Linked DNA regions of Daphnia pulex. The protein of the gene in region 1 binds, or shares a complex with, the protein of each later gene. Links are inferred from orthologs where the notes say so. Each region holds a gene or a part of one and is shown in the gene's direction. Other genes may lie near its edges. The genes, in order: eukaryotic translation initiation factor 3 subunit D-like, eukaryotic translation initiation factor 3 subunit K-like and eukaryotic translation initiation factor 3 subunit G-like.

Region 1 (4,177 bases):
TTGCTCGGGGGCTCCTTCGAAAGTACACGGAGGAGAAGTACGTGTGGATACGAGCAGTTCTTTAGCATATGTGGCTGTAGCTGCTCCCGGAGCTTCTCTGGCTGACACGAAAGCCATGGTTGCATTTGCTCTTCTTCAGAGAGCATTGGGTGCAGGTAATCATATTCCCCTTCTTCCCACAATTAAAAAGTCTATCAAAATAACTCCTTTGTTACTGTCTAGGAATCCCAGTTAAATATGGTTCTGGAGCAGGATCAAAACTAAACCAAGCAGTGTTGGGTGCTGGTGCAGTTTCTTCCTTGAATTTGAACTACTCCGATGCTGGTCTATTTGGGTTCGTGGCCGCTGCCCCAGCCTCAGATGCCGGCAAAGTTGTTTCCGCCGCTACAAAAGTTTTGCGATCAGCTTCAGTCAACGAAAGCCAATTGAGCCGTGCAAAAGCCCAACTTAAAGCCGACTTGTTGATGGCCAAAGAGAACACTGGTGTGTTAGTTGAAGAGTTGGCTCTGCAAGCGCTTCTCAACCGGGCTGATCTTCTTTCTACTGTCGATAATGTTTCAATTGCTGACGTCAACGCTGTAGCTTCCCGGTTGGCTTCTGCCAAGCTAACTGTCGCTGCCATTGGAAACCTGAGCAACGTCCCGTTTGTCGATGAATTATAAAATTTTGAATAGGTCTCTGAATTATAATGTAGTCTATATCTATATTTGCACAGTGGCCCATTAGAAAATATCCAGATCGAACGGTTAATCATTCTTAAGAGCTGAAAGAATACACGTGCCCTGTACAGAATATCCACAGTTTCTCTAATCACTCTAATACTGAAAAATCTTACCTCACAATTCCTCTTTATGTTCCTCTTTCGCAAAATTAAGATTGATACGTCATTCATTTAAAAAACGAAGATACATGGAGGAGAAAGTAATGATTCTCTACTCTCGAAAGAAAATTTGTGCTATCTTCGAAAAGACAACAATAATATGTAATTAAAAAACATTTCTCTCTAGTGGGCTTACTTATATTTTAATGAAGTGTGGGGTTTCCGTGATCTTACGTTCAATCTGGTGTAACTTTCTAAAGTAATGTAACATATTTCTTCATCTGAGTCTGAGCTTGACTCTGGAGGGATTTTATAAAAAACACCATATTCCAGATCAGAATACATTTAGTCATTTAGTATTCTGGCCATTTTTTTATTATATTTTTTGTATTTTTTAGCTGATTTAAGATTTTCATACTTCAGTATCTTATTATAATTGCGTCTAAATTAAAAATTTGTGATTGAAATTAAAGATATGCTAATTCGGAATTATTAGGAAAACAGTGGAAAAAAGTAAAGCGGCAGAAAGGTATAAACATCATTTTCAACAATGGCAACAGTGGTATACGTAGCATCCGGTACTAAAATGGCGATTACCATGTTCTAACTTGTAGCAAGCTGTCAGCCAGCCGGTCTAGTGAGAAAGTGCCTACGACTAAATTCTGAAAAGTTATTTTCATAAGGTCACGTTAAATTGTATAACATGGCGGCGCATTTTGTTCCACCAGCGACTCAAGACAATAATGACGGATGGGGACCTTTAGGTATTCCCGACCGCTACAAAGATATGCCATATCAACCATTCTCGAAGGTAACGTTTCATTGCCGAATTTTGTATTAACTTCTTCTGATGTTTTGTTTAATTTATTAGATGTCGGAATGGGCTGGTGGAAGCAGCATCAATTATTCCTTTACAGACCGCAAGTATGGTGGTGGAAAATACTCTGGAGGGGCTGGTGGAAGCCAGTATGCTTATCTGCATGATGAGGAAGAGAACAGCTTTCAGCTTGTGGATACTGCAAGGACTCCAAGACCAATGTATGCTAGAGGAAGATTCCTTCGCAACCAACGGCTTGCAAGAGGCAGACAAAACTTTAGGAATTCTCAGCCTGTGCCACTTAAAGGTAAAGTGTTCAAATAGCAATTAATAGCAACAGATTGTTTATACATTTTCTTTGAAGGTGGCAAGATGAAGGATAACCGAATGAGACAGACTAGGAACAAGTGGAATAATAGAGGACCTCGTCAAGTAAAGCTTCTCACCTTACCGATTATTCAGTCTCATACTCATTTTTTAAAAACTTGTAGGGCCAAATTCAGGTTAAAAACCGTGAATCATCAGTTATTGTTCAGCCTTCATGGAAAATCATTGAAGAGATGGATTTCCCCAGGCTCAACAAACTTTCTCTGCGTCTTAGCAAGGAAGCTTCTGATTTGTAATCAACTATTTAAACTAAAACCTTTCACATGCTGATTTTAAAATAATGATATTATTTTATTTTTCCAGACTTACTTGTGGTGAACTCGAGTTTTATGATAAGCAGTACGACCGCGTAACTGTGAAAAATGAACGAAGACTGCAAAGAATTGATCGTATTTTTCACAAGGTCACCACAACTGATGACCCCATTATCCGCAAAGTAAGAAACAGTAGTCACATTCAAGTCTTACGCGTGGTAGTATGCTAATTCTCAAATTCATTAGTTGGCAAAAACTGAGGGTAATGTCTACGCAACTGATTCCATCTTGGCTACTTTGATGTGCAGTATTCGCTCCAACTATAGTTGGGACATAATCGTCCAGAAAGTTGGTGGCAAACTGTTTTTTGATAAACGTGATGATTCGGAATTTGGTACGTACCTTTTGGCCACTGAGGGAGTTTGCAATGATCTATAATCTTCCCTTTTCCCTAGATCTGCTAACTGTATCCGAAACATCCAATGAACCTCCTCAAGAAGAGGGCATCAATAGCCCACGTAATTTGGCACTAGAAGCGACCTTTATTAATCATAATTTATCCCAACAAGTCCTGAAGATGGTATTTATAATAGGTTTTATAAAATGGCATAAATCCCTAATTTTGTCGTTTCATAATCTTGTAGGGAGAAGAAAAATTCAAATTGGATGAGCCTAATCCCTTCATTTCGGAAGATGAAGTAGGTGAAGTTGCCTCGGTGGCTTACCGTTACCGTAAATGGGATTTAGATGGGGGTGTTGTTCTGGTGGCACGTTGCGAACATGACGCTGTCACCGTTGGATCGGCTGGTGATAACCAATTTATCAACATCAAAGCTCTTAATGAATGGGACTCAAGGGTATGCATATTCACTGTTCGTAATGAAACTGTGTCTTTAAAATGATTTTGTACTTCAAGTTGTCTGGTGGAGTCGAATGGCGCCAGAAACTGGACACTCAGCGAGGTGCTGTTCTGGCCAACGAGCTGAAGAATAATGCATGCAAGCTAGCAAAATGGACTGTGCAAGCTCTGCTCGCCAACTCTGATTGGATTAAATTCGGGTATGTGAAGACTCCTGTTGTCCCTCGAATATTATTGTAACTAATATTGTTTACTTCAGATATGTTTCCCGTATGCACTTACGAGATACATCGCGTCATGTAATCCTTGGAACACAGCAGTTCCGCCCGTCAGATTTCGCATCGCAAATCAACCTTAACATGGACAATGCTTGGGGCATTCTCCGTTGTATTATTGATTTGTGTATGAAGGAAGAGGATGGCAAATATTTGTTGGTGAAGGATCCTAACAAGCCCGTCATCCGCCTTTACAAGGTGCCCGATAACACGTTTGAGAGCGACGATGAAGCATTTTTCGAAGAAGGCGAAGGTTTGTAACCAATCAATATCGTAACGTGCGTGTGTAACTGCTGGCTTGCTTTTTTTGCTTGGGTGTTGGCCTCCCTTTTTTTTTTACTAGCAAAGATTAAATAAACACGTCCAAGCAGTTAATCAAATTTCCCTGCATTTGTACGCCGTGTTACGTTTTGCTTGAATTCGTAGCTCGAGCTTTGTATATATGTATAATATCTAACCACTAGTGGAAGTGCTTGGCTTCTTGGGGGAAAAAAACCTAATTAGATACGCGACATGACTTAAGGTAGCTTTAAAAAAGGCGCTATTAAACGCATGATTTCATAACGTCAACCACGAAATGGTAAATAATAATGTATTTATTTTTTACACATGAATAGAAGACGAGTAACGGCTGATACAAACAAAAGAACAGCTCTTCCACCAATTCCCCAATCTACAACAGTACTACGTTTGTAATGATCGTTACATGGAATAAAGCACTTATGAAGCTTCCAGTTTACTTATACAGCTTTACTTTGTTTGATT
Region 2 (3,057 bases), on another chromosome or scaffold:
CCCTTAAAAGCCTCTACATCCTTGAAATCGATCAAAGAAAGCCTTTAAACTTTAATGAAGTTACTTTTAGATATTCTGGAGGTATCACTTTTGAAGGAGGAGTTCTTCCCCTTCTCAAAAAATTTGGGAATTCCTTGACAAAATTAGAACTTGACGTTTTCTTCCTTGACTTAGACATTTTAACCATAATGCAATTTTGCCACAAGCTTCAATACCTTTGCCTTCATATGCGCAGCAAATTTGATCGTTGGCCTAAAGAAGAAGAACAAAAATCGGGAAATAAAAGGGAAATTCCTATCTTAAAACATCTGGAAGAATTGATGTTATGTTCTGATGATTCGCTTCATTCCTTTGTCCCCGCAGAAATTGTGTTAATCTTATTGTCTTCTCCGTTACTATCATTCATTTCCATAAAACTTTTGAATAACCTAACTGACAAAATCATACGAAAAGCAACGCATGTCAATTCCTTTCGTCATCTTGAGAGATTGTGGTTAACTCACTGTAACGAAGTAACTAAATACGGTGTGAACCTTTTTTTACAACAGAATATCCCTCTAAAGAAACTGATTTTGGAACGTTGCGATAAGATAACGTTTGAAGATTCCATCGAATGGGAAGAAACTTTGACCAAGAACAATTGGGAACTTGAATTAGAAATACGTCACCCTTACTAATTATTAGTTAAAAAAATAAAAAGGTACAATGTAATACATTTTTTATGATAAAACCACTCAATTACCGCCGGTAATTAGCCTAATATCGGTAATTTACCGGTACTGTTTTTTTTTAATTATTCTTGAGTAACAACACGAGGAAATCTCATATGTTCTCTCTCGGTATCTTATAAAGGTGGCATTTTGATGTTTGCTCGGAATTCCTCGGGGAAATAGGGTTCATAGAGCATGTTTGAGCAACCATTATTAAAATTAGTTACTGATGGCAGCAAGTAACAGTTATTAGTTTTTATTTTTTGTCGTCTTTTTTAATCATTTGAATTTTGACCATCGCCTAATCTGCTAAGTGCTAAGTGTACCGTGAAAATATCTTCTGTCAAAGATTTTTCAAAGATTTAAATGTCAGCTACATCTTCAACTTTTAAAATTGGCGGAAATTCGAATCACTTTCATTGGTTGAAAGAAGCTCCACAGCTCCACCCGCTCCACCTACCAAGGAGCGGAGTTATTTTCCGACTGAGGGGTTTATGAGGGTTTTCGCCCTAAATTATAGCTCAAAAAAAAATCGTTCTATTTGTTTCATTCTCGACTTTTATCGCAGAGTGAAAATGGAAAGTTTCCACTCCTTCACTTAGCTGATAATGCTTTAAATGGCAACAGAGCCTCTTAGGCCGAAAGCGTCTGCTAAAGCCACATTTCCGTCATCCGTCAAAGTCTAGTTACTGATTGTTAACAATTTCAATAACAGTTCATTATAATGGCCGAAAAGATGAAAACAGAAATCGCTTCTATGCTACAAGGAATTGAAAGGTAAGAGAAAATAATCTGAAAAAGTTAACCCCATCTGCATAGTTGAGGAACACTGTAATGAACAATGGCGGTTTGTTCTCTTATTTCTAGGTACAATCCCGACAATCTTCAGAAGCTAGAACGCTATGTTGAACTGCAAGCACAAGAAAATATGTATGACCTAGAGGCCAACCTAAGTGTGTTGCGATTGTACCAATTTGGCCCAAATTTCTACCGCAGTAACATTGTTAATCTGATCCTACTGAAGGCAATGACCAATTTACCTCACACAGACTTCTTGCTGTGCAAATGCCTTTTGACTCAAGATAGGGTATGTAATATGATTGTTTAATCTAATATATTTAATAGGAATTAATTTTTTTACTTTTCAGTTGGAAGAACCTCAAGTGAGCAGAGTAATGGTCCTAGCTGATTTGCTGGAAACGTGCAAATTCAAGCAGTTTTGGGAGGAATTGGCCAAATGTGGTGACCTAATTATTACTGTTCAAGGATTTGAAGATGCTATTAGGAAGTTTGTTGCTCATGTTGTCAACATTACCTATCAAACTATTGAAGTTCCGGTATTAAAAGAACTTCTTGGCAATGTCAACGGTAATGGCAATATTATCCATGTATTCCCTCTTAACATGGTTTTCGACATTTTAATTTTAAAAACCTCTCTTTTCAGATCAAGTTTTGAAACAATGGGTCGGGAAGTGCAGCTGGAAGGACCTGGGCAACGGCCGTGTGTTCATCACGTCGCAAGAAGATTTGGTCAAGACCAAAAACATCACTGAGAAGATCGAATTTGAAAACGTGGCTGGAATCATGTCACACTGCATTTAAAAGTGAAACTGTCTTTGACCGATCTGCAAACAGGAAGAAAGAAAAACCAACAAACAAACAATTCCAAGGGCAGTGTATTTCTGTTTTGTAACAGCTTCATATACACAATTGTCATGTTTGAATTTGATGATCGTTAAACCACCCAAGCAGTGAATCCCATCGCCGTATTTACACCCGGAATCTGTTTTCCTCTCAAGCAGCATCTAATTAAAAGTTCTGAAATTCGATTCTGCTTTGGCCGATATGGTGTGGGCATGTGCCTCTACATTGACAAGTGAATTGGTGGATGTTTTAAATGATTAGCGGGACATTGAAAAAACAAAGAAAAACCATTTTCATTCGCTTCAAAAACGGATGCTGAATCCGCGGAACTCGGGCCGTGCAAGGTATTCCCAATTGCGAAGCTCGGTGTGGTCGATCTTGCATCCGGGGCTACCTGTCCTCGTCAGCCATTGTGCCCTGTGGAGGAAAAAGGTTTGGAACAACAATTTTAATTATTTCTAGTAGTAGAACTCGTTAAACACACAGACGAATCCGCTTTGGCACCGAGCGCATGACGGGTCAGGAAGATTCTAAAAGTAGCTTGTTTCTCCTCGCTCTACAGAGGACGAGCCCAGCATAGTTAAGGTATTTAACGACGTGTCCTGCCCAAACCATGACTCGTGTGCCTTATCTAGAACCTCGAATGGGCTCGATGCCAATCGTCATTTCGTCGTTTAAATCGTTCGGAGCTGCTCCTGCTTCT
Region 3 (3,914 bases), about 7.6 Mb from region 1:
TTTCTCTATGAAGCAGATTATTGAACGTATCGATCGTATGAGCAAATGAATCAATAAGAACTCAAGCTCCACAAAAAGATACAAGTTAATCCCTTTGAAAACTAGAAACATTACAAATCAGGAAATCATTCATAAAAGACCCTTCAGTCAAACAGATCTACAAATGGATTGCCAAAAAAGAGAATGTTAAATTTATTTCCATGAAACTTTAATTCAAAGTGCCCATTCGTCATTTGACACGTTTGCGCGCGCTCCCTTTTCAGTTACAAAATACCGTACATACCTTATGAGTTCTTTGTCAACAACTATTGATCTTGGAAAATTTGTCTGTTCTGCGCATGGGCGATGCATACATAAAACGTGGGTCACCTATTTTGAATGGCAGCTTAAAGCTGGTTGATTATGTGAATTCCAGCAAACAGTTCCATTGGGAGCAATACAAGTGACGAGCAGGGAACCGGCAAACAAATTTGTATACATTAGCACTTGTTTTCTTCAAGTACGAATGGATCAGGAATTCTTCTGAATACAGCAAGAAATTTATCACCACTATTTCGCGTGACTTTTTTGCCCTCCTCCGTTGATTCGTACAGTTTTGGAACTACAATGTCTTGATCCTGATACCGCAAAAAGAATTTGTAGTTTTATAGCTATTTAATTATAAAGTATAACTAACCAGCTCTTCCTGGGTTAGTCTCTTAAATAATGGATGTTGGTCTAGATGCATAACCATCCATTCATGAAGATCTTTAACATCAGTAATTGTGTAAACCAAACCCTAAAGTAAAATTTAATTAATCACACAAGATATCTACATCAAGTAGCTAAAGAAGGGCCGTTCTAGGCCTGCCTACTTACCCCTTCAGCCAAAACATAGGCATATTCAGCCAAGAGAGTGTCATTGATAATACGCCACTTGTGTTTGGCCTTCTTAAAATGAGGATCAGGGAAGAGGAAAAACATTTTTGTCAATTGTCCTTTATCGAAAAAGCAAGGGAGGTACCTAGTAGCATAGAATAAATTAAGCAAACATGCCCAAGTAAATGAACAAAATAAATGTAAGTACTTCATGGCATTGCTTCTTAAGCAGGCAACATTTCCGTAATCACCTGGATGCAAAATCCTCAACGCCTTTATGCGATCCTGGACATATTCTGAAACTTTCAAACGAATCTCCATTCCTAACATTAAAGTCTCTGGGAACATGGTGGATAATGATACTGTTAAAAAAAAATACAAAATTAATTTTCCACATATTTTATTGGCAAAATGTGATAAAAATACTCAATAAACCGCCATAGCCACATCCAATATCAGCAAACTGAACTTTGTGTTTCATTATTCCATCTTTGCTGAATGTAGGATAGAGCTCATCCCATTTCATGTCATTGGGAGAGACAGGACTTCAAACGACAAATTGGGTTAGAAAATGACTTAATGATAAATCGAAAACTGGAAATAAGATACTCACTAGTCAAAACAGTGATCTGCGATAGGATTGGAGTGTGCTCTTTGTCGATAATATTTTTTCTGTGGTAAGCTAGCCATTTTTGCTGTATTCGAGTTCCACGTGCCGGAATCTCATAAACGGCGGGATTGTATTCGAAGAAGAGCAGACGAAATTGTAAAAGCAGTCAAAATTACGAAATGAATTTTTCAAAACTGGCAATGTCGCTCTACACACGTTCTAATGGCTGCTTGCTGACACATTTCTGCAATAGCAGTGAATTTTCTACTTTTTGATTATTTACTTGACGTAATCAATCTTCTCCAAGAAAAATGCCGGTTGCTGATAATGAGTAAGTGAAATGAGACAAATTAATGTGCAAATATTAAAAATACAACACAATCTTGATATGATTTCAGAGTTAAATCCAGTTGGGCCGATGACGTTGAGGATATCGATGGTTAGTAATGCCGCTTCCCCGTAATTAATGTAAGATTTTCTTTAATCATGCCGGTATTATTCCTTAGGTCTCGGTTTACCCCCTAACACTGAAGAATACAAAAATGGGCTGAAAATTGTCACAGAGTATGGTCTTGATGATGATAACAGGAAGTTCAAGGTGGTGCGTACTTACAAAATAGAGAAAAGGTATGTAGCTAAAGCCATTGCCCAGCGTAAAAGTTGGCCAAAATTTGGTCTTTCCAAGGAAGATAAACCAGGACCAAACCCTGCAACAACAATTGTATCTGAAGATGTAGCCATGCAGGTATTTCTTTTCTCAGTTGATCTATCAAAACCGTTGGATGCTAATTACCATTTTTACTTTGACAGTTTATTACGAACAAAGAGGATCCTGATAACAAGGAAGATGACCCTCTTATGAAGTTAAAAAGCATGCAGAAGGGCATTGTTAAGTGTCGTATCTGTAAAGAGGACCATTGGACAACACAGTGTCCTTACAAGGACACACTTTTGCCTGTCCAAGAAGCACTCAATAAGGTAAACACATTTTCTTTATTTTGAATTGAACTCTTGCTAATTTTGCTCTATATCTCTTTAATTAAGGCTGAGGAGAAGAAGGCCGGCCCGCCTCCTGCCGCAGCTGCTGCTGGAGGACCGCAAGCCAAGGGTGGTAAAGAAGGAAGCGCCTATATTGCACCTGCACTTCGTGATGGTGGCAACAGAAAAGGAGAGACTATGGCTATGGGTCGACGAAGTAAGATACAGTTTCTTCATAGTAGTTTATTTCATATTATTAAAACCACCGGAGAAGTAATAGAAAACATACATAGGAAAAACATTATTTAATGATTACCCTTTTCTTTCCCGATAACAGCTGATGAAGGGTGCACTGTACGAGTAACCAACCTCTCGGAAAACGCTCGCGATTCCGATCTTCAAGAATTGTTCGGCCGTATTGGCGAAATCTCACGCATCTTCCTCTCAAAGGTTAGACTCAAATTTATTCACTAATTATCATTTTGTAAAAATTATGGCACCGCTTCAAACTGAATTTTAGGACAAAAACACTGGCCAATCCAGAGGTTTTGCATTTGTCAGCTACAAACGACGAGAAGACGCCGAACGAGCTATCAAGACCTTGAATGGTTTTGGTTACGACCATCTTATCCTGACTGTCGAATGGTCTAAGTAAGTTAGCTCTCAATTCACTTAATTTCATTCAAAATAGTTGTGAGCTGAATTTGAAATTCATGACTGGAATTTTTAAAATTTTATTTTTTAACAATTTAGTTCTTTAAATTGACGAGTCAAATGAAACTGATCTTTCTCTTTTCAATCGTTTAACAGACCATCGGGAACACAGTGAAAAAAGCCTAAAATTCCTTCATCAAATATTGGATGCTACGATCATGTAAAGGGATAAAAAAAATACACGCAAATGGATTCCAATCAAGCTCTTCAACCCTCTATCACAGACATGAACCGAATTTTCACCTTTCTCTTTTGTCTTTCTAAGCTAAACATCAAGGGAATGAGGATTACCTCACCTAAACATTATTTTTAAGTGAAAAAAAAGTAAAGTTATCTAGTTTTGCGCTGATTCATCCTCGGCTTGACGTGCAAGATGATAGCCCCTGCTGTTACTGCTAAAGCCTCGTCCTTTACGTTTTGCCAGGTACCAGGCTACAAAAAAGACTGTCGTGATAAAAATGGTGCATCCTAGAACTATGTACATCAGGGAAAGTGGATTCGACTCGATCAATGCGCCTGTTACCTGTATCAACACGGTAAACAAAACAGACGGGTTATAAATACGTAGTGGAAATCATTAGCATTTAAATTTAACGTACCGTTGGGAATATCATCTCTCCCATTGAAGAAGCAACTGAGAAAGCCGCAGAAATCCGGTTAGTTACCAGCAGGTGTGTTTCGGTCCATATGAAGCCTGTTGCGAAGGTTGAAGCCATTCCTACGCCAACCAAGGCCGAACCGACGTACAAAATAG

What was found.
Region 2: eukaryotic translation initiation factor 3 subunit D-like (region 1) and eukaryotic translation initiation factor 3 subunit K-like share a complex: the UniProt entries of both Homo sapiens proteins name them as parts of the eukaryotic translation initiation factor 3 (eIF-3) complex. The link is inferred for Daphnia pulex from reciprocal best matches to the Homo sapiens genes EIF3D and EIF3K.
Region 3: eukaryotic translation initiation factor 3 subunit D-like (region 1) and eukaryotic translation initiation factor 3 subunit G-like share a complex: the UniProt entries of both Homo sapiens proteins name them as parts of the eukaryotic translation initiation factor 3 (eIF-3) complex. The link is inferred for Daphnia pulex from reciprocal best matches to the Homo sapiens genes EIF3D and EIF3G.

Annotation. Positions count from the first base shown.
Region 1 is NC_060023.1:3,616,111-3,620,287, reverse strand, and holds eukaryotic translation initiation factor 3 subunit D-like, read left to right. Parts: upstream 1-1,377; 5' UTR 1,378-1,523; coding exon 1,524-1,631; intron 1,632-1,691; coding exon 1,692-1,944; intron 1,945-2,001; coding exon 2,002-2,069; intron 2,070-2,128; coding exon 2,129-2,256; intron 2,257-2,327; coding exon 2,328-2,460; intron 2,461-2,524; coding exon 2,525-2,672; intron 2,673-2,733; coding exon 2,734-2,858; intron 2,859-2,922; coding exon 2,923-3,135; intron 3,136-3,194; coding exon 3,195-3,337; intron 3,338-3,396; coding exon 3,397-3,665; intron 3,666-3,987; exon of another isoform or gene 3,988-4,029; coding exon 4,030-4,040; 3' UTR 4,041-4,151; downstream 4,152-4,177. Other genes in the region: cytochrome b-c1 complex subunit 2, mitochondrial-like, read left to right, coding at 1-155, 223-662; L-allo-threonine aldolase-like, read right to left, coding at 4,153-4,177. UniProt on the Homo sapiens protein: mRNA cap-binding component of the eukaryotic translation initiation factor 3 (eIF-3) complex, a complex required for several steps in the initiation of protein synthesis of a specialized repertoire of mRNAs.
Region 2 is NC_060028.1:2,216,457-2,219,513, reverse strand, and holds eukaryotic translation initiation factor 3 subunit K-like, read left to right. Parts: upstream 1-1,325; 5' UTR 1,326-1,434; coding exon 1,435-1,487; intron 1,488-1,577; coding exon 1,578-1,797; intron 1,798-1,858; coding exon 1,859-2,078; intron 2,079-2,154; coding exon 2,155-2,312; 3' UTR 2,313-2,434; downstream 2,435-3,057. Other genes in the region: uncharacterized protein LOC124209413, read left to right, coding at 1-677; acylphosphatase-2-like, read right to left, coding at 2,657-2,771. UniProt on the Homo sapiens protein: Component of the eukaryotic translation initiation factor 3 (eIF-3) complex, which is required for several steps in the initiation of protein synthesis.
Region 3 is NC_060023.1:11,177,228-11,181,141, reverse strand, and holds eukaryotic translation initiation factor 3 subunit G-like, read left to right. Parts: upstream 1-1,662; 5' UTR 1,663-1,779; coding exon 1,780-1,799; intron 1,800-1,866; coding exon 1,867-1,907; intron 1,908-1,974; coding exon 1,975-2,213; intron 2,214-2,278; coding exon 2,279-2,446; intron 2,447-2,512; coding exon 2,513-2,663; intron 2,664-2,674; exon of another isoform or gene 2,675-2,783; coding exon 2,784-2,896; exon of another isoform or gene 2,897-2,966; coding exon 2,967-3,097; exon of another isoform or gene 3,098-3,256; coding exon 3,257-3,275; 3' UTR 3,276-3,358; downstream 3,359-3,914. Other genes in the region: tRNA (guanine-N(7)-)-methyltransferase-like, read right to left, coding at 480-617, 677-778, 859-1,003, 1,067-1,220, 1,285-1,403, 1,472-1,548; flocculation protein FLO11-like, read right to left, coding at 3,495-3,683, 3,760-3,914. UniProt on the Homo sapiens protein: RNA-binding component of the eukaryotic translation initiation factor 3 (eIF-3) complex, which is required for several steps in the initiation of protein synthesis.